Macaca fascicularis: one gene and its partners. The protein of the gene in region 5 interacts with the protein of the main gene of each other region in a pairwise test. Links are inferred from orthologs where the notes say so. Each region holds a gene or a part of one and is shown on either strand. Other genes may lie near its edges. The genes, in order: TRIM54, TRIM10, LZTS2, CREBZF, TTC23 and MAGED1.

Evidence for each region.
Region 1: the proteins of TTC23 (region 5) and TRIM54 interact in binary tests that used the Homo sapiens proteins (3 or more experiments, as listed by UniProt). The two-hybrid records come from large-scale screens. The link is inferred for Macaca fascicularis from reciprocal best matches to the Homo sapiens genes TTC23 and TRIM54.
Region 2: the proteins of TTC23 (region 5) and TRIM10 interact in binary tests that used the Homo sapiens proteins (3 or more experiments, as listed by UniProt). The two-hybrid records come from large-scale screens. The link is inferred for Macaca fascicularis from reciprocal best matches to the Homo sapiens genes TTC23 and TRIM10.
Region 3: the proteins of TTC23 (region 5) and LZTS2 interact in binary tests that used the Homo sapiens proteins (3 or more experiments, as listed by UniProt). The two-hybrid records come from large-scale screens. The link is inferred for Macaca fascicularis from reciprocal best matches to the Homo sapiens genes TTC23 and LZTS2.
Region 4: the proteins of TTC23 (region 5) and CREBZF interact in binary tests that used the Homo sapiens proteins (3 or more experiments, as listed by UniProt). The two-hybrid records come from large-scale screens. The link is inferred for Macaca fascicularis from reciprocal best matches to the Homo sapiens genes TTC23 and CREBZF.
Region 6: the proteins of TTC23 (region 5) and MAGED1 interact in binary tests that used the Homo sapiens proteins (3 or more experiments, as listed by UniProt). The two-hybrid records come from large-scale screens. The link is inferred for Macaca fascicularis from reciprocal best matches to the Homo sapiens genes TTC23 and MAGED1.

The regions. Positions count from the first base shown.
Region 1 is NC_088387.1:94,935,227-94,939,285, forward strand, and holds the start of TRIM54 (tripartite motif-containing protein 54), read right to left. Parts: upstream 2,801-4,059; 5' UTR 2,488-2,800; coding exon 2,320-2,487; intron 1-2,319. UniProt on the Homo sapiens protein: May bind and stabilize microtubules during myotubes formation.
Region 2 is NC_088378.1:142,511,009-142,515,271, reverse strand, and holds the start of TRIM10 (tripartite motif-containing protein 10), read right to left. Parts: upstream 2,801-4,263; 5' UTR 2,718-2,800; coding exon 2,289-2,717; intron 1,068-2,288; coding exon 972-1,067; intron 448-971; coding exon 217-447; intron 1-216. UniProt on the Homo sapiens protein: E3 ligase that plays an essential role in the differentiation and survival of terminal erythroid cells. May directly bind to PTEN and promote its ubiquitination, resulting in its proteasomal degradation and activation of hypertrophic signaling.
Region 3 is NC_088383.1:109,962,960-109,966,459, reverse strand, and holds part of LZTS2 (leucine zipper putative tumor suppressor 2), read right to left. Parts: coding exon 2,909-3,500; intron 2,022-2,908; exon of another isoform or gene 1,591-2,021; coding exon 1,333-1,590; intron 579-1,332; coding exon 1-578. UniProt on the Homo sapiens protein: Negative regulator of katanin-mediated microtubule severing and release from the centrosome. Required for central spindle formation and the completion of cytokinesis.
Region 4 is NC_088388.1:84,705,634-84,709,843, forward strand, and holds the start of CREBZF (CREB/ATF bZIP transcription factor), read right to left. Parts: upstream 2,801-4,210; 5' UTR 2,547-2,800; coding exon 1,489-2,546; coding exon of another isoform or gene 1,485-1,488; exon of another isoform or gene 1,372-1,484; intron 1,276-1,371; coding exon 1,260-1,275; 3' UTR 1,198-1,259; intron 971-1,197; 3' UTR 856-970; intron 134-855; 3' UTR 65-133; exon of another isoform or gene 1-64.
Region 5 is NC_088381.1:84,112,750-84,116,249, reverse strand, and holds part of TTC23 (tetratricopeptide repeat protein 23), read left to right. Parts: intron 1-478; coding exon 479-629; intron 630-813; coding exon 814-939; intron 940-3,500. UniProt on the Homo sapiens protein: Participates positively in the ciliary Hedgehog (Hh) signaling.
Region 6 is NC_088395.1:51,968,158-51,971,496, reverse strand, and holds the end of MAGED1 (melanoma-associated antigen D1), read right to left. Parts: intron 2,676-3,339; coding exon 2,561-2,675; intron 1,302-2,560; coding exon 924-1,301; 3' UTR 916-923; intron 710-915; 3' UTR 501-709; downstream 1-500. UniProt on the Homo sapiens protein: Involved in the apoptotic response after nerve growth factor (NGF) binding in neuronal cells. Inhibits cell cycle progression, and facilitates NGFR-mediated apoptosis. May act as a regulator of the function of DLX family members.

The DNA of each region.
Region 1 (4,059 bases), on a different chromosome or scaffold from region 5:
GCTCATCTTTCCGAGGGAGATCTACTGAGATATATTGAGATATACAGACTTGAGTGCAGCTGAAGAACTGGGTCAGCCTCCCACCAGGCCCTCCCAAATAAGCAGCAAGGGATGAGCTCTTCACTCTTCCTCCTTGGAGGGGCCAGGGCTGCTCTGCACCTCAAACGACACACATCACTCCAGACCCACAGGGCCACCCCAAAGCCCTGGGTATCACGTTATCTCCAAATATTCTGTACAGGGTTTGCCCCAAGCCATTCCAAGGTCTCTCTGAGCCCAGATCAGTATTCCAGAGCTTTCTGGAACTGAAACAGTGTGCTTGGGTAGAAAGGGTTGACTTAAACAAGCATGTCACTTGAACACATTCTAGCCTCCATGTATGGGGACTGCTCCTGGGCCCCTCTGCCAGACGACAGAGGCACCCAGGAATGCTCTTGGACATTCTGACCACTTTTCTATAGGACACGTCACCTTAACTTTCAAAACTTCTCTTTGTTTTCACACATTTCAAGTTCCAGTGAGAGGATGTTTCACTGTCAGTTCATGAGAAATGATGGCAAAATCTTTCCGCCATTTCCTCCTAGGCATCTCAGCCTGAAGGATGTTCGGAATTCCTCAGACCAAGGAAACACCAAGATGGTGGGCAAAGCATTGCCTCTCATGCAGGACTTCATGCCCAGGATGAGGAGGCATAGCATTTGGTCTGGGTCCCCCGAGACGGAAAATCTACTGCCTCTGAGATACTCTGGAGCTGAATAATGGCAGGTTTGGACACATAAAAGAATAGGAGAGGGAATGGGCCTCAATGGGAAGATGGCAGGAGAGACCACAGAGTGCTGGTCTGCAGTGAAGATGACACACAGCAGACATACAAGGGGCGGGTCACAGGGTACATCGTGGGATGGCGGGACCTAGCCAGTCCATTCCTTTCCCAAACAAGCTGCCCCGAGGAACTTAAGAGGGAAGTATTTTCTTGGTTAGGTTAAAAATCCCTTGTGTTTAACACATTTCCTCATCATTTCTGACACTGAAGAATACTTGTTTGGGATGTTCCGTATCACTGACACACATACTAAGCCAGCTCTGGTCTATTCAGGGTTTGTTTTTGTGTTTTTGAGACAGAGTCTTGCTCTGTCACCCAGGTCAGAGTACAATGGCATGATCTCGACTCATGGCAACCTCCGCCTCCTGGGTTCAAGTGATTCTCCTGCCTCAGCCTCCTGAGGAGCTGGGACTACAGGCGCCTGCCACCACGCCTAGCTAATTTTTGTATTTTTGGTAGAGATGGGGTTTCACCATATTGGCCAGGCCGGTCTCGAACTCCTGACCTCGTGATCCGCCGGCCTCGCCTCCCAAAGTGCTGGGATTACAGGCGTGAGCCACCACGCCCGGCCACATTCAGAGCTTTTGCTTAATCGGCAAGGCCGCGTGTGTGTGTGTGTGTGTGTGTGTGTGTGTGTGCCTTTGCCCCTCACCCTGATCTCTGTTCCATTTCATAGCCTACTAGAACCTCCCCGGTAGCACAGGAAAAGAAAAAAAAGCCCACTTATAATCCATTCTGGTATATGCAGCTTTTATTTCTAAACCAGTGGCTAAAATGGTATCTGTGAATTTGATTAGCTATGCTTGGCTCCATGACCACAAATAAACCAAAACTGGCTAGACTTCTAAAAGTAAATTTCTTTGCCTTCTCTCTTCTTGTCAAGTGACCTCAATAGCTTTGAACCAGTAGGCCTCTTTACTCAACAATCTGGAGGTAACAGGTATGAACTCAAGTTGGGGAGAGTTCCCAGTCTCCTGCCCACTGCGTCTAACTCTGTCCCCCACAACGGATGCCCTGAACTTTCCTTAAACACGAATCGTTTTACTGCCATTATGGAGCTTTCTCACAGGGTTGGGTTTTTTCTGTTTGTTTTTTAATGTTTCATTATCTCATTAATCTTTTCTCCGTATTTTCCGCAATGCTCTCAAAGTGTGAAACTCCAAACTGGAATGCAGAGTCTGGCACAGGCTCTTAAAAGGCCGGTGTAGGATCCCCTCCCTCCCAGTTTCCACAGGGTCTCCTTTCCTCAGCAGATCCCAGCACTCCAGCTGCCGTCTATGGACAGGCTGTACCTGCCAGCCTGCAGGGCAGCTGCTGACTCATGCTTGCTCTGGGATTTGCTTGGACCCCAGCCCTTCTGCTCTCCAGCCACAACAGCCACCACCTACCTCAGAGAGCACTCTATCCATCACTTTCTGGGGTCTTAGCTCTGACCTGATCAGTCCCCCACAGGTCTGCATTGCTTTACCTGGCCCTGCCCCATCCCTGGCGCCCACCTGGAAGACGTCGTTGGCACACTTGCGGCACAGGTTGTGTTGGCAGGGCAGGATCACCACTGGTTTGGAGAACATCTCCAGGCAGATGGGGCAGATGAGCTGCTTCTCCAGGTTGTCCATGCTGTGTGCATCCCCTAGCAGCGGCTTGAAACCCACGGTGAAGTTCATCCCCTCGGTGGTTGTGCCTACCCTGGCTTGGGTCCTGCTCCTGGCCTTCACTCACTGTCTGTAGACCCTTCCTCACTCAGACGGCCTGTGGATTCCCTTCTGTGGCTCACTCTTGAAATAGCTCTGCTCTCTCTCCTGTCCCTTTAACAACTTGTCTCGTCCCAGATAGCAGTCTTCAGACACTTCTGTCTCTACTTTCTGCTCTGCACCCTCGGCAGGCTCACGTAGTTTTAGCTATCCCTCTCTCTCTGTAAAGTCCTCCTTTTGTTTCCCAAATGACTCTCTCTTGTTCACTCTGTGGGTAGCACTGTTTGTCCCTTACTCCCCAGAGAGGAGATTAATTTTACTGTGGGGGTGGGGAGACAAGGGGCATCTGCATGACATTCCAATTCCCAATTTAGCTCATGTAAGGCGAGCCACAGCTGTCACGGAGTGAGTGACCCTGACTCACTCAGGAATGGGTGACTCCCCTGAGCAAGGGCAGGGGCAAGCACCACTGCTTACGGTGAAAGGTGGGTCAGCAAAGGTGCTGCCCTCTCACTCTGAAGGCTCCTCTGAGCCCAGGACCCCTGCTCTGGCTTGGGCCCTTCTTCCAGGACAGTGACACAGAATCTAAATCTGCCTGTGTGAGAAGCACCCATACATAGCTCAGGGTGGGAGGAAAGATCTTGCCAGACTTAGAGTCAGTAGCAGTTGCCTCCTCCACAGGCTCAGCCAGTGACCCTGGTCCTCCTCCTCAAGACTGTGTGATTCAGAACAGCAGCTCCAGAGACTCCATCAAGCCTCTTGTCCAATACCTCTGGCTCATTTTTGTTCTTGCCTGCCTTTTCTTATATCACCCTAGGAAATGAAGCTCAAGAGGCTAGAAATGAGTACTGTGCCAAGGCCTGGACCTACCTATGAGCATGCGCCCGAGGAAATGTGGGATTCTGGTTCGTGAACACATCCCTGGAGCCACTCTAAGGACTTCAAATTTGTTAGGAAATTGGGAGAAGGTGAGCTGGGCAGAAAGGACATGAATGCCAGGGACCTATTTTGGGCACCCAGGGAATCAACCTCCAGGGAAATTTTAGAGCACTGACAAAGTCATAATCATAAGGCTCCAGGAAGCCTCTGCCCCAGCTCCACAGTTGTCCAGGACTCCTCCTCTCCAAGCCAGGCTCGCCCCAGTTGTGAGCACTGGTCTTCTTTTTCTCCTACAGGTCTTTTTCTCCACTTGATATTAGCCAAAAAGCCAAGAAGCAATTTCTTTAGGCCTTTTTCCTCCACCCCAGACACAATTTGTCTTTTCTGGGTCCAAAATATGCCTTGGGATTGGACAAAAGCTCTTTTATTTACCGCCATTCTTTAGCCCTTCTCCCAGTCCAGGAAGAGAAGTCTGAGGAGTTAGTAGCTAGTGACCCTGAGTGGGTAGGAAATACACGGTGTGAGGAGGATACGAAACAGCAGCACAAAGAGGCAAGAGTGGGAAAAGAGTCCAGAAAGTGCAATCTTCTCCGGATCACATATTTCATGCCCCTATTTTTGAGAACAAATTATATGTCAATTGGCCTGCATAAGATGTGAAAAGGA
Region 2 (4,263 bases), on a different chromosome or scaffold from region 5:
CAGATGGTGGGATGGAGAGGTGGAGACCAAAGAGCAAAAAGTGACCAGGGAACACTTGGAAAAGCATGAACCAGAATTGAGACCTTCTGGTCCTCTGACCTACCTCCCATCTGGGATACGGAGATGTGTGAGTCAGGGAGACATGACTTAGGCAAGGCAAAGATACAAGAGTCACAGGACAGCACAGGTGGGGCAGGGTTCAGGTTCAGGCCTCACCGTCAGGAGCTCCCTTGCTGGCCTCTCATTCTTCTCCTCCAGTTCTTCAATAAGAGTACTAAACCGGCAGATCTCTCCAGCAACCAGGAAATCAAATTCATCCTGTTGCTTCAAGATGTCTCCATCCAGGCTCTCCAGTTGTGCTAAGAGGATGCTCTGCTGTTCCTCTAGAAACTTCCTCAGGTGTGCGAACTCAGAAATCACCTGTTGTCTCTTGGTGGACACCTGAGTCTGAGGGGGCAGGAGGAGAGCCCAAGAGAAAGTTTGCTTCCTCCTTCTCCCTCTGCTCCTCTTCCTCCTACCCTGTCCCCAGGTAGATCTGGAACTGTATCATGGTTTCCTCTTCACCTGTCATCCCATTTCAGGGAGCAAGACTCACAGTGCTGTCTCAGCACCATCTGCTGCAGCTTCTAAAAGAGGGTAGGACTTACAGGAGGTGTAGGAGGAGGTGGTGGGGACACCCTACCTCCTGTCTTGTATGAAAAGCACACTATGTGCGCAGCCCTGAGCTACTTTACAGTCACAGTCTCATTTAATACTTACAGTAATTCAATGAGATCATGATGATTTTTACTCTCCATTTTACAGATAAGTAAACTGAAGTTAGAGAGTTGCTTGAGGTCATAGAGTTAGTGTCAGAGTCAGGATTTAAACTCATAATAACTTCAAAGCCCTATAATCTATGTTGCCTCAGTTTCAGGAAGACATTGGACCTTGAGGAAGGGGAGGAACCTGGGGAAGGGGTGATGACTTACCAGGAGGACTTGCATCCTTTTATTTTCTCTTGACTGGATTTCTTGAATCTCCTCTCTCTCTTTTCTTAGACATTTAAGACACTTATGTATTTGTTCCTGGGGAGAAGGAACATAAAATACTCAAGATGGATATTTATTTGTTCAGGGTTGTCTTGTCATCTGAGCCTCTGCCTCCAGGAATGAAGTGGCCCCAGGAGAGGAGTCTCTTCCTTAGCTGACAATCCCCGAGCCTCCACCACCCTGACAGCTTAGTCCCTTTAGGTCTGTTCCTCTTGATTTGTCTCCACGACTTTGGGTCAGGACTTTCCCCTTTCTCCTGTGCCACTAGAGGCTGTGACTTGGTTTTCGCACTTGAGTCTTTCTTCAGGTTAAACATTCTATTGTGTTTTGCTTCGGGTAAGTGGTATCTGGGGTCTGTCCTGAGTTTGATATGCCCTGCACTGAAATCATTCCAGTTTCCAACACATCCCAAAGGAACATGTGTAAATAATAACCCTCCCTTGTTACTGGAATCAATTATCTGTGTATGACTCCAAAGGGGAGAAGAAACTTGGGTAATGTAAAAATAATTGATAAATTGTTTTCAAAATTATTTGCTCCAGAATAGAGTTAGGAACAGGTACACATACATTATAAATATGTGTGTTCAAAGACATATTAGAAATCTCACTATCAGTTGCTAATTAACTAATTAAGACATCCACACACAGACTTGTACTAAAACACAATTCATAAACATAATGCATAAACAACTAAAACTAGCACACACTCATTTAATGACAGATAAAATGGCATGCCACATATATTTACCCAACCTGAATATATGTAAACATGAATTTTTCACAAACAGGAGCTCTCAGTTACACTCACACACTCAAATACATACATACTCAGACTCCCACACAAACACACCAGGCACACATGCAAATGTTAACATGCAAACATGTTAACATGCAAACATCTAAACATGCAAACGTTAACACATATACACACTGTTTGTACAATCATTCCCTCAGATACAAACTTCAGACACACCTGATCCATGGCACAGACATACACACTCATGTTCTGGTCACTCATTCATTCAACAAGTATTTGTTGAACTCCCATTATCTGTTGGCCACAAGTGAATACAGAACACACTCAAAAAAACATAAAACATAAACATAATTTTCCATGCCTGGGTCTATTGCCTGGGTGATCATGTAAGTCAGGAGAAAGAATTTGGCCTCCGGGTGGCCTAAATAATCCACAACTCTGCTGTTTCTGTTAGTGCTGTCCAGTCCACCCTGGGATCCCCCAGTTCCCCCTTCCTACCCTATAGGGAGCCGCCGCATCCTCTAGGAAGCGCATAGTGTGGGCAGCATGCTCTCCAGCCTCCCGGCACATCACGCACAACTGCATCTCATCATCCTCACAGAAGAAGTAGATCTTCTCTCCGTGCTCCTGGCAGGCATCCTCCTCTCCCAAACCCAGTGTGGACACCAGCTGGAGGCGCTCGATGTTCTCCACCACGTTAGCCAGCTGCCAGTTGGGCCGGAAGCTCCCAGGACGGAAGGGTTCTTTGCAGAGTGGGCAAGTAGGGGACTCCTCCAGGTCTGGGCCTGGGATCTCACAGTAGCGAGTAAGGCAGCCCCGGCAGAAGTTGTGGCCGCAGTCGATAGTGACCGGCTCCCTCAGGGTACCCTGGCAGATGGGGCAGTTGACTTCATCTGCCAGGCTGGTCACAGAGGCAGCAGAGGCCATGCTGCTATGGCTTCCTCAAGGCCACCCTCTCCGCTTGGCCACGGGGGAAGGGCTGGGCCACACACTCACACACCCACATGTGCACATGGCTGGACACAGGTACATATTAAATATGCACCAGCACCCATATCGTCACACACTTGCATATCTGGCAGCCAGGATTCTATTCTCCTGCCAACAGCAGAGATGGGAAATAGCAGAGGAGAGGAAGGAAGAGGGGCTCACAGCATTTCAGAGGTGATCTTAGATGACCATAACCAGGGGCTGGCCATTCCTTTCCGTCCATCTAAATACACTCACAGTAGAAGGAAAGTGGTGATATGTCAGCTGTCCACTGTCAAAAGAAATATTCTTTTGGGGGCAGGTGGGAGACTGGGTCACAGAGTGGAGATGCCACTCCAGCCTTCCTGCAATATGGCCAGCTGTCTCCAAAGAGATTGGAGGTATCAGCCAGCCCAGGGCTTGCCCATCAGCAAGCAGGAGAGTGTGAGGCTCAGATAAGGTCCTTGTGCCAGGGTGTACACTGCACCAGCAACTGAAATGGTGATGCCTCAACTGGCCTGCCGCAAGCCTCGAAAGAGGCTGGAATATTCCCTATGCTGGGGAGGAGAAAGAAAACTAGCAATGGCCAGAATTTATTTACAATGACGGTACATCTTACACTGATATAAGCAATTTAAAAGTATGATCTTATTTTTGTGTCTGCTCTGCAACATCAGTGCTATTAGGATCTCCATTTTATAAATGAGAAAGCTGAGGCCCAGCCAGGTTATTCAGCTTGCCCAAGGCACACAAGTAAGAAGGTGAGTGACCATAAATAATTTGCTGTCAGATCTATGTCTTCCAAGCAATGCCATTCAACATAAATGCAATGTGAGCCACATATGCAATTTAAAATTTCCTAGGAGCCATATAAAAATAGTCTAAACAGGTGAAAGTAATTTTAATGATTTTTTTATTTGGTCCTATATTTCCAAAATATTATCATTTCAATATGTGATCCTTATAAAAAGTTATTAATAAGACATTTTACATTTTTTAATTTGTGCAAAGCCTTTGAAATCCAGTGTGTTGGCCAGGCGCGGTGACTCATGCCTGTAATCCCAGCACTTTGGGAGGCCGAGGTGGGTGGATCACAAGGTTAGGAGATCGAGACCATCCTGGCTAACATGGTGAAACCCTGTCTCTATTAAAAATACCAAAAAAAATTAGCCGGGCGTAGTGGCGGGCACCTGTAGTCCCAGCTACTCGGGAAGCTGAGGCAGGAGAATAGTGTGAACCCGGGAGGCAGAGCTTACAGTGAGTCGAGATCGCACCAATGCACTCCAGCCTAGACAACAGAGCGAGACTCCATCTCAAAAAAAAGAAAAAGAAAAAGAAAAAAAAATCCAGTGTGTATTTTATATATACAGCACGCCGCCATTCAGACCGGCCACATTTCAGTGCTCAGTAGACACATGTGACTGGTGGCTCCTGTGTTGGACAAATTGGCTCCTGGGCTGCACTTGTGGCAGGAAAAGCAGAGATCGGGTGGGAAGGGGAGGAG
Region 3 (3,500 bases), on a different chromosome or scaffold from region 5:
AGCTCCTGCTCTAGCTGCCGGTTGCGCCGGTACATCTGGATGTAGTTGTGCTGCAGCTGCTTCTGGTAGCGGATCACCTGCTCCTTCTCTGCCTGCCAGGCCAGCCGCTCCCCTTCAAAGCTGTCCCGCTGCTCCTCACCCCGCCGCCGCTCCCGCTGCAGCTCCACCCGCAATCGCTCCACCTGGGCCCGCAAGCTGCCCCCAACCCCGGCTGCTGCCCGCTGCACTTTGGCCTCATCACTCTCTGCCAGGAGGAATGGGTCAGCGGTGGCAGGTGGCACAGCCGGCTCCCGGAGTCCAGCCGCCTCAGCATCCAACTGCCCAGCTTTCTCCCGCAGCCGCTCGGCTTCCTGGCGGTGTCGCTGCAGCTCCTGGGAACAGGCTTCCAGCTCCAGCTCCCGAGCTCGGGCGGCCTCCTGTAGACCCCGCGCACGGCCCTCACTGACCCGCAGGGTAGCACGGGCCTCCCGCAGTGCCACCCGCAGGGCCACCAGCTCGCTGCCCTTCTGCACCAGCTCTGCCTGAGACTCCTTCAGCTGCTGCTTCAGCAGGGAGATCTCGCCTGATTTCTGGCACACCTGGGGGTGGGAGGCAGTGGGGAAGGATGGTGAGACAGGTTCTCCTGGGGGGACAGGCCCTGTGCATCATGCTGGGCATTCGGGAGGAGAGTCCATCTTTATCCCCATTTTATAGATGGAGACACTGAGGCAAGTCTAGTGACATGTCCAAGGTCATAGAGTGAAGATGTGGCTTAAGTGGAAAGCAGACATAGATTTTTTTGCTTCAAAGTTGGTGTCTTCAAAGCATCACGAGACACTGTGGAAGTACCACCGAGCCCTGGGGACTGGGTGCTGGCAGGTGCTGCAGGAGTGGGGGCAATGGAGGGCAGTACCCAGGTGTCTACTGGAGAGGTACTACAGTGACTTGGTTAAGAGCTCAGATATTGGAGCCAGACTGCCTGGGTTCAGATTTGGCACTCCAGTCTTTCTGGGCCTCAGTTTACTCATCTCTAAAATGGGGAGACTAGTGGTAGCCCCCTCAGTGTTGTTACAAGGATGAAATGATCTGTCCCATGTAACATGCTTAGAAGAGTGCCTCCACACCACAAACACCACATTCTTACTACTGGCTGGAGCGTGGCTTTGTGCCACTAGACAAGGCCAACAAGGAGACCCTCCTCCCAGAAAGGAACAGAGGAGAACTTCATCTCACGGAGGTGAGGAAGGGGAGGACCTCTGGGGGTGGCAGGCTGAGGGAGGGTGCGGCTGGGCCCCTTTTTCCAGGGTTTCTCCCTGTGTGACCCTGCTCCCTGCCCCTCCTGGTCTGGCCCACCTCCCACTTGGTCTCCTCAAGCCTTGGCCCGAGCTCCCGCTGCTCCCGCTCCAAGGTGGCGCAGCGCCGCTCCAGCTGTTCACGCTCCTGCAGCAGCTGTGCAAAGTCATCCTGCAATTGCCGCTTCTCCTGCTGCAGCTGGAACACCTGCAGCTGCAGCAGCTGTTGGGCCCGCTGTGCCCGCTGTGCCTGGGCTGCACAGTCCTCTCGCAGGGCCTCGCGCTCTCGCTGCCAGTGCCGCTGCCGCTCCTCGTATGCCTGCAGGCGAGAAGACAGACCCAGCTCCTGGGCAGTTTTCCCAACTCCCCACTCAGTGTCTGCCTGGCGGCCCACTTCTGAGGGCTCAGGAAGGGTGTATTCCATCAAACAACAATAGTAATTGCAACAATACTAACTGCTTTTATAATGATCATAGAAACAAACACAAGAGCAAGCAGACCGGGCTCGGTGCCTCACGCCTGTAATCCCAGCATCTTGGGAAGCCGAGGTGGGTGGATCACTTAAGCTCCGGAGTTCGAGACCAGCCTAGGCAACACAGCAAAACCTTGCCTCTCCAAAGAACAAAAATTAGCTTGGTGTGGTGGCGTGTGCCTGTAGTTTCAGCTACTTGGGAGGCTGGGGTGGGAGGACTGCTTGAGTCCAGGAGGTTGAGGCTACAAGGAGCCGAAATCGCGCCACTGCACTCTAGCCTGGGTGAGAGAATGAGACCCTGTCTCAAAAAAAAAAAAAAAAAAGCACTTGGCCGGGTGCAGTGGCTCAGGCCTGTAATCCCAGCAGTTTGGGAGGCTGAGGCGGGTGCCTCACTTGAGGCTAGGGGTTCGAAACCAGCTTGGCCAACATGGTGGGAACCCCGTCTCTACTAAAAATTCAAAAAAAAAAAAAAAAAAGCAAGCATTTATGTATAGCATTTCCTAGATACCAGGCATTAGTCTAAGCACTTTACACCTTTTGCCTTATTTAATCCTCATAACAATCCTATGAAGCTAGAAATATCCCTGTTATAGATGAAGAAATAGAGGCTGAATAAAGTTAAGCAACTTGCTCAAGTCCAAAAACTGGTATTTAGCAGTGGGAGGTTTGAATCCATGCACTCTGACTCCTTTCCACCCCACAAGTTTTGTTTTTTGTTTCTTGTTTTGAGATACAGTCTTGCTCTGTTACCCAAGGCTAGAGTGCAATGGCAAAATGTCAGCTCACTGTAACCTCCTCCTCCTGGGCTCAAGTGATCCTCCTACCTCAGCCTCCCAAATAGCTGGGACTACAGGTACATGCCACCACACTCAGCTAATTTATTTTTAGGAGAGATGGGGTTTCCCCATGTTGCCCAGGCTGGTCTCAAACTCCCGAGCTCAAGCAATCCGCCCACCTCGGCCTCCCAAAGTGCTGGGATTACAGATGTGAGCCACCACGTCTGGCTATTCCACAAATTAAACCAGACAACTGGTGGGGAGGGCAGGGGGGTCACAACTACAACTACCCAACCCCTCTTCCCTGCTAAAATGGAAATGCCCCTTTCATTCCCCAGGCCTTGGGATGTCCTGCCATGCCCCTTCCCCATCATTGCCTCTGACCACACCTGGCACATGGTAGCCTCATTCTCGTCCAGACTGTCCCGCAGCTGCTGAAGCTCTGCCTCCCGCTCTCGGAGCTTTCCTTCCAGGACACAGTGCAGCAGGGCCTCGTCGGAAGGAGGTGGAGGCGGGGGTGGTGGTGAGCGCTCCCCACAGGAGCTGCTGTCAGGGGAGGCCCGGGTACCACTGCCCAAAAGCCCGGCAGCCACACGGCCCCCCAGGGAGCCTGTGCTCTTGCTGGAGGAGGACCGGCCACTGTCTGAGTGGGAGGGCCCAGTAGGGACCCCTCGGGCTGGCCCAGGCAGTGCCCCTCGCCCAGAGCCATGGGAAGGCAGGTGCCCGCCTGGGGAGCTGGTGGCTGGCTCGGCACCTCCGGTGCTGTAGGTGGGCAGGCTGGACAGTGAGTTTCGGCCAGAGTCGGATAGCGTCCCTGATGGGCAGCCACTGGCCCAGCCACTAAATGCCAGGGGTTTGTCAGCAGCTGAAGAGGAGGAGGAAGAAGAGGAGGAGGAGGCAGGGCCCCCAAACAGCTGTGTCAGGCTGCCCTGGCTCCCAGACAGCCCGGTGGCCCGAGGACCCATGAAGCTAGGCAGGGAC
Region 4 (4,210 bases), on a different chromosome or scaffold from region 5:
ATTTTAAAAATAAAAAACAGCAGAAGCCCTGATATTACCTCTTTTTCCTCATTTCTTATACTACCTTTTAAAATAAAGCAGGAAATGTGGCCAGCAGCTGGTCCCGTCTCTTCTGCCCCAACAGCTGTATCCACTTTAGCACAAAGAAAAACAAGGATGCTAAATACGTATATACTTTATCAAGCAGTGATGTTTCACAAAGAATTTCTTAATGCCTCTTACACTGAAGGACACCATAACTCAATTTATACAAATGGTTAATAGATTCAAGGGAAGAATAAATCCCACCTTTGGGAAAATAGTGCCAATCGTGTTATTTAAGTGGCCAGAAGCACTCAATTTAAAAAATTATTCTAAAATAAGACAAATACTTTTGAAATACAGAGAATAAGATTCTTTGTGAAGCCTCACTTTACACGTTTTCATTCACATTTCACAACCTTCAATATCTAATCATACATATATAAATTTAACCTAAAATTTTAATACAACAAAAATAAAGATGTTCAACAATTTATTCATACTCAGTGATAGGGTAATCACTGCTGGTCCTCAAAGAAATATTAACCATTCTTATTCTCGAAGTAACTAAAACACAGAAGTCTGATATGCATGTTAATTTCCAACTTCTCTAATGGTGAGATACTAAAATCTGTTACTCCGTATAGACTGTTTCTATATCTCCTACTGAAAACTAAAAGGCATTGATATTTCAGAGGTACCTGTCACCTCCAGCAAAATAACTATCACATTTGTGCATGCCCCAAATACTTATTGTCAACCTCTGAAAAGTTGCCCTAAAATCGGAATTCCAATTTGCACCTTGTACAACTCGGAACTTCCATTCAACTTCACCTGTTTCACTGTCTCCAAACTGTATCTCTATAAGCAGGTTTCAGTGTACAGTTGGAACCGATGTCATCCAAGGCCATGTCCACACTGGGGACAGAAGAGCTAGGTACACGCAAGTCTGAATAAGGGGACACATTAATAGCTATTTCAACCAGAAGAGGCATCTTAAATACATTCTTGACCAGCACAAGTCTGTTTCCAGGGTGGACAGGGCCCAAATTAGATTTCCCTCCCACCTTCCAAAACAGGAAAAAAAAAAACCACACACACACAGACTGAGATGTTGCCCATTAAAGTAGACTAAGCAGCAGAGCATGAGCGTTACGGGAAGAGATGGATCCTTACCAGGTTGTGAGGCGGGAACGACTGTTCTGTAACCCCTACAACGGAGCCTGGCAGGAAGGAAATCACCTAAAAAAGAAACTGTCAGAGAGATTTAATAGTCACATGTTATCATTAGGAGTTGGTTACTGTGTCACATTCATGCTTTTAGCTAAACACTTTAAGATTCAATATTACTTTTTTTCTCTCCTCTGAAATGTGTCCGGTGAAGATGTCCCACTAAGGTAAGTTTGACATGGTGTAAGGGAGTTGAAAGGGGTAAACGCGGATAAAGAGCAGATTACTTGACCCTACATTTTAAGAGAAGACGACGCCTTCCGGGCGCACGCCGAGCAGAACTCCACCGACACCTTATCCTTGTCCACATGGAGACAGACTCCTCCCGCCGAGTCGTCCTCTTCCAGCAGGTCCTGCTTCTGCTTTCCCACCGGCAGAGCGTAGTCGTGGTCACCGGCGGGCGAGTCTCTGAAGAGCGAGGTGGTCAGCCGCAGTCCCACGCCGCTCAGCCGGCTCAGCAAGCGAGCCAGTCCAGTCTCGTTGGCTAAGACTGCCCGTAGGTAGCGACTCTCCTCCTGCAGTGCCTGTACGCGTTTGCCCAGCTCCCGATTCTCGGCCCGCAGTTCCTGGTTCTCGGCTGCCAGACCCCGTACTCGACTCTCCAGCCCCATCACGTACTCCTTCTTCTTCAGCCGATTAAGGCGGGCAGCGGCCGCCGCCGCCTTCCGGGGACTCTTTGTCGCCGCCTGGTTGTTGTCGTTACCGCTGCCGCCACCGCCGCCTCCTGGAGACTTTTTCCGCCTCTTTTCGGCGCTGCCACTGTCACTGCTGCTGCTGCAGCCTCCGATACCGTTTAACAGCCTCTGCAGCAGGTCAGAGAAGCGCTGCATTTCAGCAGCCGCGGCCTCATCGTCATCCTCCCCTCTCCACAGGCCGCCGCTATCCGAGCCTCCGCCAGACGAGGAGAGAGGCCCCGGCGAGCTAAGCCCGGGGTCCAAGTGCCAGTCCGGTTGCCGGGGGTCCAGGAGATCCGCCAGTTCCAGCCCAGACAGAAAGTCCATATCCTCCGTTTCTTCTCCGGGGAGGCTGGCGATCGCTTCCTCCTCCATCTCCTCGGGCGAGGGCGCGCGCACGGCCACCCTGCCGCGGCTCCCCCTCCCGGCTTCCAACTCCCCTTCGTCGCCAAGCTGCTGCTTGCGGCCGGGAGATCCGGCCGCTGCTGTCTCCTCCTCCCCCGCTGCCGCCCGGGTGAGGTCCGAGGGCAGCGAGCAGGTTGCAGCCGGGGCTGGGCTCTCACTGCGGGTTGGGGAGTTGCTGCCCGAGGCTGCCAGCAGCTTGGTCAGGCTATGCCTCATGAGGGCCGGCGGCGGGCCGCGGTAGGCCCTGGCCGCTAAGAGTGGGCCTCACGGGCCCCAAGGATCCCGCGCCCCAGGGCGGGTAGCCCCCGGCACTGGCCGAAACGAAATGCAGGGAAAGGTCCGAGTAGCCTCCCGCCTCAGTTGGCTAGTCGACCCCCCGCGCAAGGGCGCAGGAAGGGTCGGGAGAAAGAAGCGGTGAGGCCCACTGATGACTCGACCGCACCACCCAGACAACGGCCTGGCCGGAAGTCAGTGGTTTTCGCCCCAGCCCCGCCCACCGCGTTTCGCGCGCCACCAGGCCGTAATATCGCGAGGTTTTAGGGTGCTTTGGAGTGGGAATAATTCCAGCTTTCTAGTGACATCATAATAACTGCAGCAAAAATAACAACAGACTCTAGATTTATCCACCCTAATTCAATAATACCGCCCAATACCCAGACTCAACAGTTCAACACATTGTTTTGCCATATTTGCTTTATCTTTACATAAATGCTTGTAAATTTTTTTTGCTGAATCATCCTAAAGTTGCAGGTAAGACACCACACCCCTGCGTACTTCAGTGTGCATCTCTAAAACTAAGGACTTTTTTTCATAATCATAATACTATTACCAAGTCTTCAGAAAATTAACAATCGTTTACTAATACTATTTAATACCTGGGCCATACTAGATGTCCTCAGTTGGATAATGGATATGCTAATTACCCTAACCTGATCACTACATTCCATATGTATGGAAACATCACTATGTACCCCATGAATGTGACAGTTATTATTTGTCAATTAAAAAAAAAAAAAAGGAATGTAGAATACAACGTTCCTTACAAAAATTGTCTTCGGTTGTTCATGCCATTTTTTACAAGTAGGTATTTTCACTTGAGCCAAGATCCAATCAGTACTGACTTACTGCATTTGGGTAACGAACAAAAACTCTGACAAATAGAGCCAGAAAAGGCTATGAAGAGAGGGTACTCATACTTGTATGCCTGAAAACAAAGACTGCAAAACTACAACGTTGCACAAAAACCATCACGACCTTATACAAAACCTCTGCAAGGATGTCTGCCCAGAAGCTGCCTGTCCAACCTTGAACTGACGTCACCCTTGTTATTGACCTTTGTAGTCAAGATAATTATTTCAAAACAATGTGTAACCATCCTCATTTTTTTTCCTTTAAAACCCTTTGTCTTCCTTCGTCTTCCTGCATACACACATAGTTTACTATGGCATGCGTTTTCCCATTGAAATGCTCTATTTTCAATGCACATCTTTTATTTTAGAGACCTTTTCTGTTTGTTATTTAGGTTCACATCCCACAAGGGATTTGAGATTTGAAGCAGTTTACAAATACAGATATTTAGGTTCATATCCCACAAGAGATCTGAGATTTGAAGCAGTTTACAAGTACATTAGAATATAGTAAAACAAAACATTTTGAATTTTTAAAAAGCAAGGCCAAAAAAAAGATGAACTAGGAAGAGAAGGAGTTCTGAAAGGGGAAACGGTTAATATTGGAATTGGATGGATGCAATATCTTACTCAGTTGTTTGAGTTGGGCTAAAATTGTTTCCTGACAGCCCAAACAAAAAAAGAGAAATGAATTTTCCTTTGTTCATAAGTAAAGTATATATGAATTCTTTAACCACTTTTCTAGTTCTTAAA
Region 5 (3,500 bases):
TCAGATATGCATTATGTTAAAAAATAACTCTCTGACGTTGTAATTATAGGTGGGTGAGCTGAAGATTCAGAATTTTTAGTATTTCATTACGATTGCAGTTACACAGCCAGGATTAAAATTCGTGAATATTTTATTTCCTGCCCAGAATGCTGTAGTTCTTGTATTCAATTTGTTTCTTATAATTATATGTAACATATTTTACTTCTGATATTGGTGAAGTTTCAAAGTTGTTCAATTCCAGCTCATTCTGTTTATTTCTAAAAAGGCCATTGGGGGAAAATTTATCTTGAGTACTTGGTATAAAACACTTCTTTGGTTGTTACAGTCACGACAGTGTTTCATGCTGCCCAGATACATCTCCATGTGCCATTTGACAATATGTGAAGGAGACCTTGTTAGATTCTCAGACTGTAGAGAACTGTATTCCTGTCCAGTTGAGATGAAAGAGAAACTGAGACCTCTTTTTCTTTGTCCACAGGACTGTCACTGCAAGCGAAACAACATGCAGAAAAAGCCAAACAAATCCTCGCCAACTCCATTGTGCCTCCCTATAACGAGAATACAGATGTTTTCAAGTTTTCCATTGAGCTTTTCCATACCATGGGCAGAGCTTTACTCTCCCTTCACAAGTATCCTTTTGCCTCTAACTTTTACAAATAGAAATACTATTCATATAATACTTATATGCCAAGTAAAAAGCTGATGCTGATGGATGACTTAGGAAGTGTGATTGGAAGTATGGGAACCAAGGAAGTTCAGGACATGGGGTGTAGAATCTAGAACCAAGTGGAAAGTTTCCTGAACACAATTTAGTTTTAAGGAAGCTTCAGAGAATTTGACAAAAGCAGAGAGACTTTCAAAGGAGCTGCTACAATGTGGAAGGATTATAAAGGAAGAATGGATAGAAATTGAAGCACGGATCAGATTATCATTTGCACAGTAAGTTTCAAGTTTAGGATTTTGCTTACATGATGGCTGGAGGCTCTTTGCCAGTAGAATCTGTCTCAGGTAGGAGGAGCATCTCCATGAGGCTGCGGCTATGGCTTCTCCGGAGGCCACTGTGTAAAAGTAAAAGAGGAGCACAGTCATGTCAGAGCAGCCCCAACCAAGGCATCCATCAGTGACACTTTTCACTCTCTATGGAGTGCCCTCATATCCACCCTGGGTCCCAGAGTTCTGATCATTATTCTCTTGACTTTCTTTTTACCTGCTCTCCCTCCTCACCCCCAGCCCCTACACCCTTCTCTTCCTCCCTCCATTCCTTTTTTCCCTGCCCTGCTCTGGTCTAAAATGCTTCAACGGGTTGCTTTTATGATGAAAACCTAAAAGGAGAAAGATCTTAAACTATCTGAATCCATGATAATGAAAGGATTGTTCTTTGTTCCTCGCCTTACTCCATACTCACCAAGTAAACTCAGCTGGAAGAGATATGAAGAGAAGGTTCTGCATAGTTAGTACTTTTATCTCTCTCCAAAGGGCAACCTAAGCCAATTCCTCAGAGTATTGGGGTGACAAAGTTTGCCCACACTCTTTGGAAAGATGGACTTGTGCAGAGGAAAAGATGAAGAAAGGTCTGTGTTGGAAGAGGCAGAGAATCCCAGTTGACCTACATGGCTTCCCTCAGCCAAACCTGGAAGAGTTCAGTTTACCTTCCTAACTAGATTGTATGTGTAGGTTGATTCCCAAGACAACTCAGAGAACCCACGGAATCATTTTAAGAAAATTGCTAGGAAAGGGCCCCAGGAGAACACACCTAATGCTTCCATGTGAATGGAAAGTGGGAAGAACCAACTTTGACTCATCCAGTTAAAGGTATTTCTTTTGTGATCACAATTCCCCTTGTTCTTTTGTTTTTCTTGAGTGGTTTTTGAACTGCAAGTGCAGAGCTCATTCATCTGTGCAAATTCTCCGGTATGGATTTTTAAATTAATTTTTTCCCTTCATTTCTGATTTTTTCTCTCATTCTCCTACACACACATCATAGATAAATACTTTAATGATGGCTTATGTTTTTGAGTATGTATCTCTGAGTAACAAATAGTATTGTTTTACATATTTATGTGTTTAAAATTGCTATAAATTTGGCTGAGCACAGTGGCTCACACCTGTAACCCCAGCACTTTGGGAGGCTGAGGCAGGTGGATCACAAAGTCAGGAGTTCAAGACCAGCCTTGCCAACATGGTGAAACCCCATCTCTACTTAAAAATACAAAAATTAGCTGAGCATGGTGGCGCATGCCTGTAATCCCAGCTACTCAGGAGGCTGAGGCAGGAGAAATTGCTTGAACCTGGGAGGCAGAGGCTGCAATGAGCCGAGACCTCACCACTGCACTTCAGCCTGGGCGACCGAGTAGGACTCTGTCTCAAACAAAAAGAATGGAAGAAAGGAAGAAAGGGGCGGGGGGGGTGGGAGAGAGAGAAAGAGAAAGAGAGAAAGAAAGAGAAAATTCCTATAAATTTGTAGCATATGTGTCATTCTGCTTGTTACTGTTTTCCACTCAACATGTTTTGATTGTTGCCTGGATTTTAGTTCATTGCTTCTGGTTCCTGTATAATTCTCCATAAAATGCATTTGTTGCGTTTTGTTTGTCCATCCTCCTAACAATAGACATTCAGCTTGTCCCCAGCTCTCTGCTGCCACAGCAGTGCTGCCATGACCATTCTTACACAGCTTCACTTATATGGCTAAGCGACACTTTTTCTAAGGTTTATATCCCAGGGGTGGTATTGCTTTTCTGAGGTTTATATTCCAGGGGTGGTACTGAGTACAAACAAACTTTAAGTGCACCAAGCACCAGCCAACCACGACACCCATCTGCATTTGCATTCCCACTTGCAGAGCGGGTGGGTTCCTAGCACACCCCTGGCAATATTTGACATTGTTGATCTTTGCCAACCTGGTGCATATAACGTGCTATCTAATTATTTAAGTTCTGTTTATATTTCTCCTATTAGTGAGTTTGAATACTTTTCATATACATCTTAGCCACTTGGGATTCTCCTTCTATGAATTGCCTGTTAGTATTCCTTCTCATTTTTATTTTACAGTTTCCTGTACCTTTCCTATTGATAATCAGGGTTTTCTTGTATATTATAAATATTAATGATATAAATATTTTCTTATATCTATTGCCCACTTATTAATTTTGTCTATGGTGTTCTTCATGGCTTAGAAATTATTATTATTTTGCTTCACTCAAATCCATTCATTTTCACCTTATGATTTATGCTCTGGGAGTCTGGTTAGAAAGTCTTTTCCAGCTAAATATCAAAAATATTCTCTAAAATTTCCTTCCAAGACCTACTTTAACTCTACTCCGTATATTTTATCATGAAGCGTTAGCACTGTCATAACTTCTTAGTATTTCATAACTCCATTTATAAATTATTCTTTAGTCCAAGGATTATTCAATGATGTGTGTTTTGGTTTGCAGTTATGAGAGTTTTCAAGATATCTTGATGTTACTGATTTTTAATTGTATTGCGTTGTTATATATATC
Region 6 (3,339 bases), on a different chromosome or scaffold from region 5:
TCTCTGCTCCTACTCCTGCTGCCCTCCTGGAGTTATTTCACTTTCCACATGGGTTGTATAACCAACACCCTAGAATCACAGGCCATGGACCCCTTATCTCCAGAATAGTCACCTTCTGTCCCTTTCAACTACCTACTCTCTGGACTTTATCATCACCTGGAGTTCCACCTCCGCTGTGTTCTTAAGTGCAACTGTCTGAGCACCTATACCCTCTCTCACTATGCAATTCTCGCAATGTCACTCCAGGACACCTAGCAGCATATCTGTCACATGAGAATCACTTAAGTGATATTTATTGAATAAACTATACAAGTTCTTGGGTCTCGTGTTCATTGATACTGCCTTTGTATCCCAATCCAGTAGCTGGATCTTCCCATATTTCCACCTGCTGAAAGCTGATCTACCCCCTTCAAACTAGAGCCGAGGTCCTGTCTCTCCCACATAAACATGTTGCTCGCTCCCCAAATATAGGGAAAAAAAGAAGCAGAGAGCACATCTAATTCACTTTGCAATTTCAATGTTTATTTCTGATACCAAAACTTGACAGCACACAAGGGGAAAAAAAGCAGTAGACAAGGAACAGCAAATAAATTTATCTTGCATGCCACTTTCAGTCAACACGATGTGGCTCTCTAGATAGCTGTGTTTAGAAGGAATCTGAGGCTTCAGCCTCACACAGGGGAAAGACTATTGCGATTGATAGCAATATCTGTGAACATAAGAAAAAAAAGTAAAAAAATCAATGATATATATCAAATAATAAGGAATATACACACCAAAGAGTGCTGCCCCATACTTTCCTCACCTCCCTACAATGAGTTTCCTAAGACTCCTAGCTCATGCACATAAATACAATCCCATGGACCCTATATCCCCCAGAGACCCTAACTGCCCAATCCAAAGTGATGTACCTACCCAACATCTCACTCAACCCAGAAGAAACCAATGGCACCAAAGTTGGCAGCAAAGTTGGCACCGGCTGTACCACCAGGACCAATAATGGGACCAGCAAAGGTCTGAGGAAATCTGGAGCGGGCGTTCTGGTGGTATCTGGCCCAGAAGGTAAATGGAATTCTGGACCAGGGATCTCCAAAATCTCCTTCCTCATCCCAGGTCAGCAGCTCAAACTCAATATCATCCCAGCTCCAGGGCCCAGACACAGCCTCATCTCCAATTCCCATGCGGGTTCTTGCTTCAGCCCGGGCTTCGGCCTCAGCTGCAGCAGCATCCAGAGCATCCAAGGCCTCATCTGCAGCCTCCATGAACTGTGCAGTCCAGTCACGAGGGTCTCTTTTCTGAACCTGAGATGAGGAATAGAAAACAAAACAAAATCTATTTACAATAGCCAAGATACGGAATCAACCTACGTGTCCATCAATGGATGAATGGATAAGGAAAATGTGATACACACACACACAGTGGAATACTATTCAGCCTTTAAAAAGAAGGAAATTCTGCCATTTGCAACAACATGGATGATGCTGGATGACATTATGCTAAGTGAAGTAAGTCAGACACAGAAAGACAAATACTGCATGACTTCACTTATACATGGAATCTAAAAAGGTCTAACTCATAGAAACAGAGAGTAGAATGATAGTTTCCAGGGCCTGGGGTCAGGAGGGATGGGGAAATATTGGTTAAAAGGTACAAAATTTCAGTTAGATAGGAAGAGTATGTTCTGGAGATTGACCATATAGCATGATGACTATAGTTAATAATAATATGTTGTTTATTTAAAATTGCTAAAAGAGTACATTTTAAATGTTCTCATCACAAAAAAAAAATGTCAAGTATATGAAGCTACGGAGAGTTAACTAGCTTGATATAATCATTCCGCAATGTACATGACATGTATTATCAAAACATCATACTGTGCCCCATAAATATATATACTTTTTATTAGTCAATTAAAAATAAATGAATGTGCTGGGTACAGTGGTTCACGCCTGTAATCCCAACACTTCGGGAGGCTGAGGCAGGCAGATCACTTGAGGTCAGGAGATCGAGACCAGCCTGGCTAACATGGCGAAACCCTGTCTCTAATAGAAAAATAAAAATTTAGCCAGGCATGGTGGTGGCACGTGCCTGTAATCCCAGATACTTGGGAGGCTGAGGCACAAGAATCGCTTGAACCCGGGAGGCAGAGGTTTCAGTGAGCCAAAATCGCGCCACTGCACTCTAGCCTGGGCAACACAGCAAAACTCCATCTCAGGAGAAAATAAATAAATAAAACAAAACAAAATACTTAAAAATTACATTGTACACCATAAATATATACAATTTTTGTCAATTATACTTTAGTAAAGTTGGGAAAAAATAAAAATACTTTAAAAACCTAAAAAAAAAAAAAACCAAAACAAACTCATAATTGTATTAGCTAATATATTAACATATGTTAGCACCTAATGCATGTTAAGTTTACCTAACAACAACAACAAATACCACCAGCAATGCAGCACCTATCACGTGCCATACCTAGGATCTCATTCCTACCCTGGACCTTTCCCAGCCAGCGATACTTCATCCCTTGACCTATCAATGCTGGTTGGCACATTACCTCTGCAATGAATCTCAGCACTTTCATCTTGCTAGTCTCATGGTAGGAACGGAGGCCCCAGAGGAACTCATACTCTGGGGGGTTGCTGTTGGGCACTCGTCTGTAGTCCAGGTATCTGAAAGAGCAAAACAGTCTTTGTGTCTACCTACCCGGGCAGAATGGTAGTCCAGTAATGAAAAATAATCCTACATTTTTTAACATCAGATTTCAAATAGCAACTCCCCCTCGGGCTCATTCCTGAACACCATCAGGGTATTTACCCCTTAATCATCAAGCCTTGAATTCCTGCACCAGAACACTAAGCACTCACTTAGAGCTGCAGGCGACGTTTGTATAGGGTCACAGAAAGGACAACATTTCATTTCACTCCTTCTGCCTCAGCTCTAGCTCCAGATTTTTGTAATCTTGTCAGTGAGCCACAGAGGTCCATTGAAATGATTACAATGTAGTGCAAAAGTGTCAGCCTGGCCCAGCCTTGGGAATGTCTACTGTGGGGATGGTGGATGGGCTTCACTTGCAAGACAACTACTTAGAAAAGTAGAAAAATTAGAAGAATTCTGGCTGGACATGATGGCTCACACCTGTAATCCCAGCACTTTGGGAGGCAGAGGTGGGTGAATTGCTTGAGGTCAGGAGTTTGAGACCAGCCTGGCCAACATGGTGAAGTCCCATCTCTACTAAAAATACAAAAACAGCCGGGCATGGTGGCAGGCACCTGAAGTCCCAGTTACTCAGGAGGCTGAGGCACAAGAATTGCTTGAACCTAGGAGGTGGAAGTT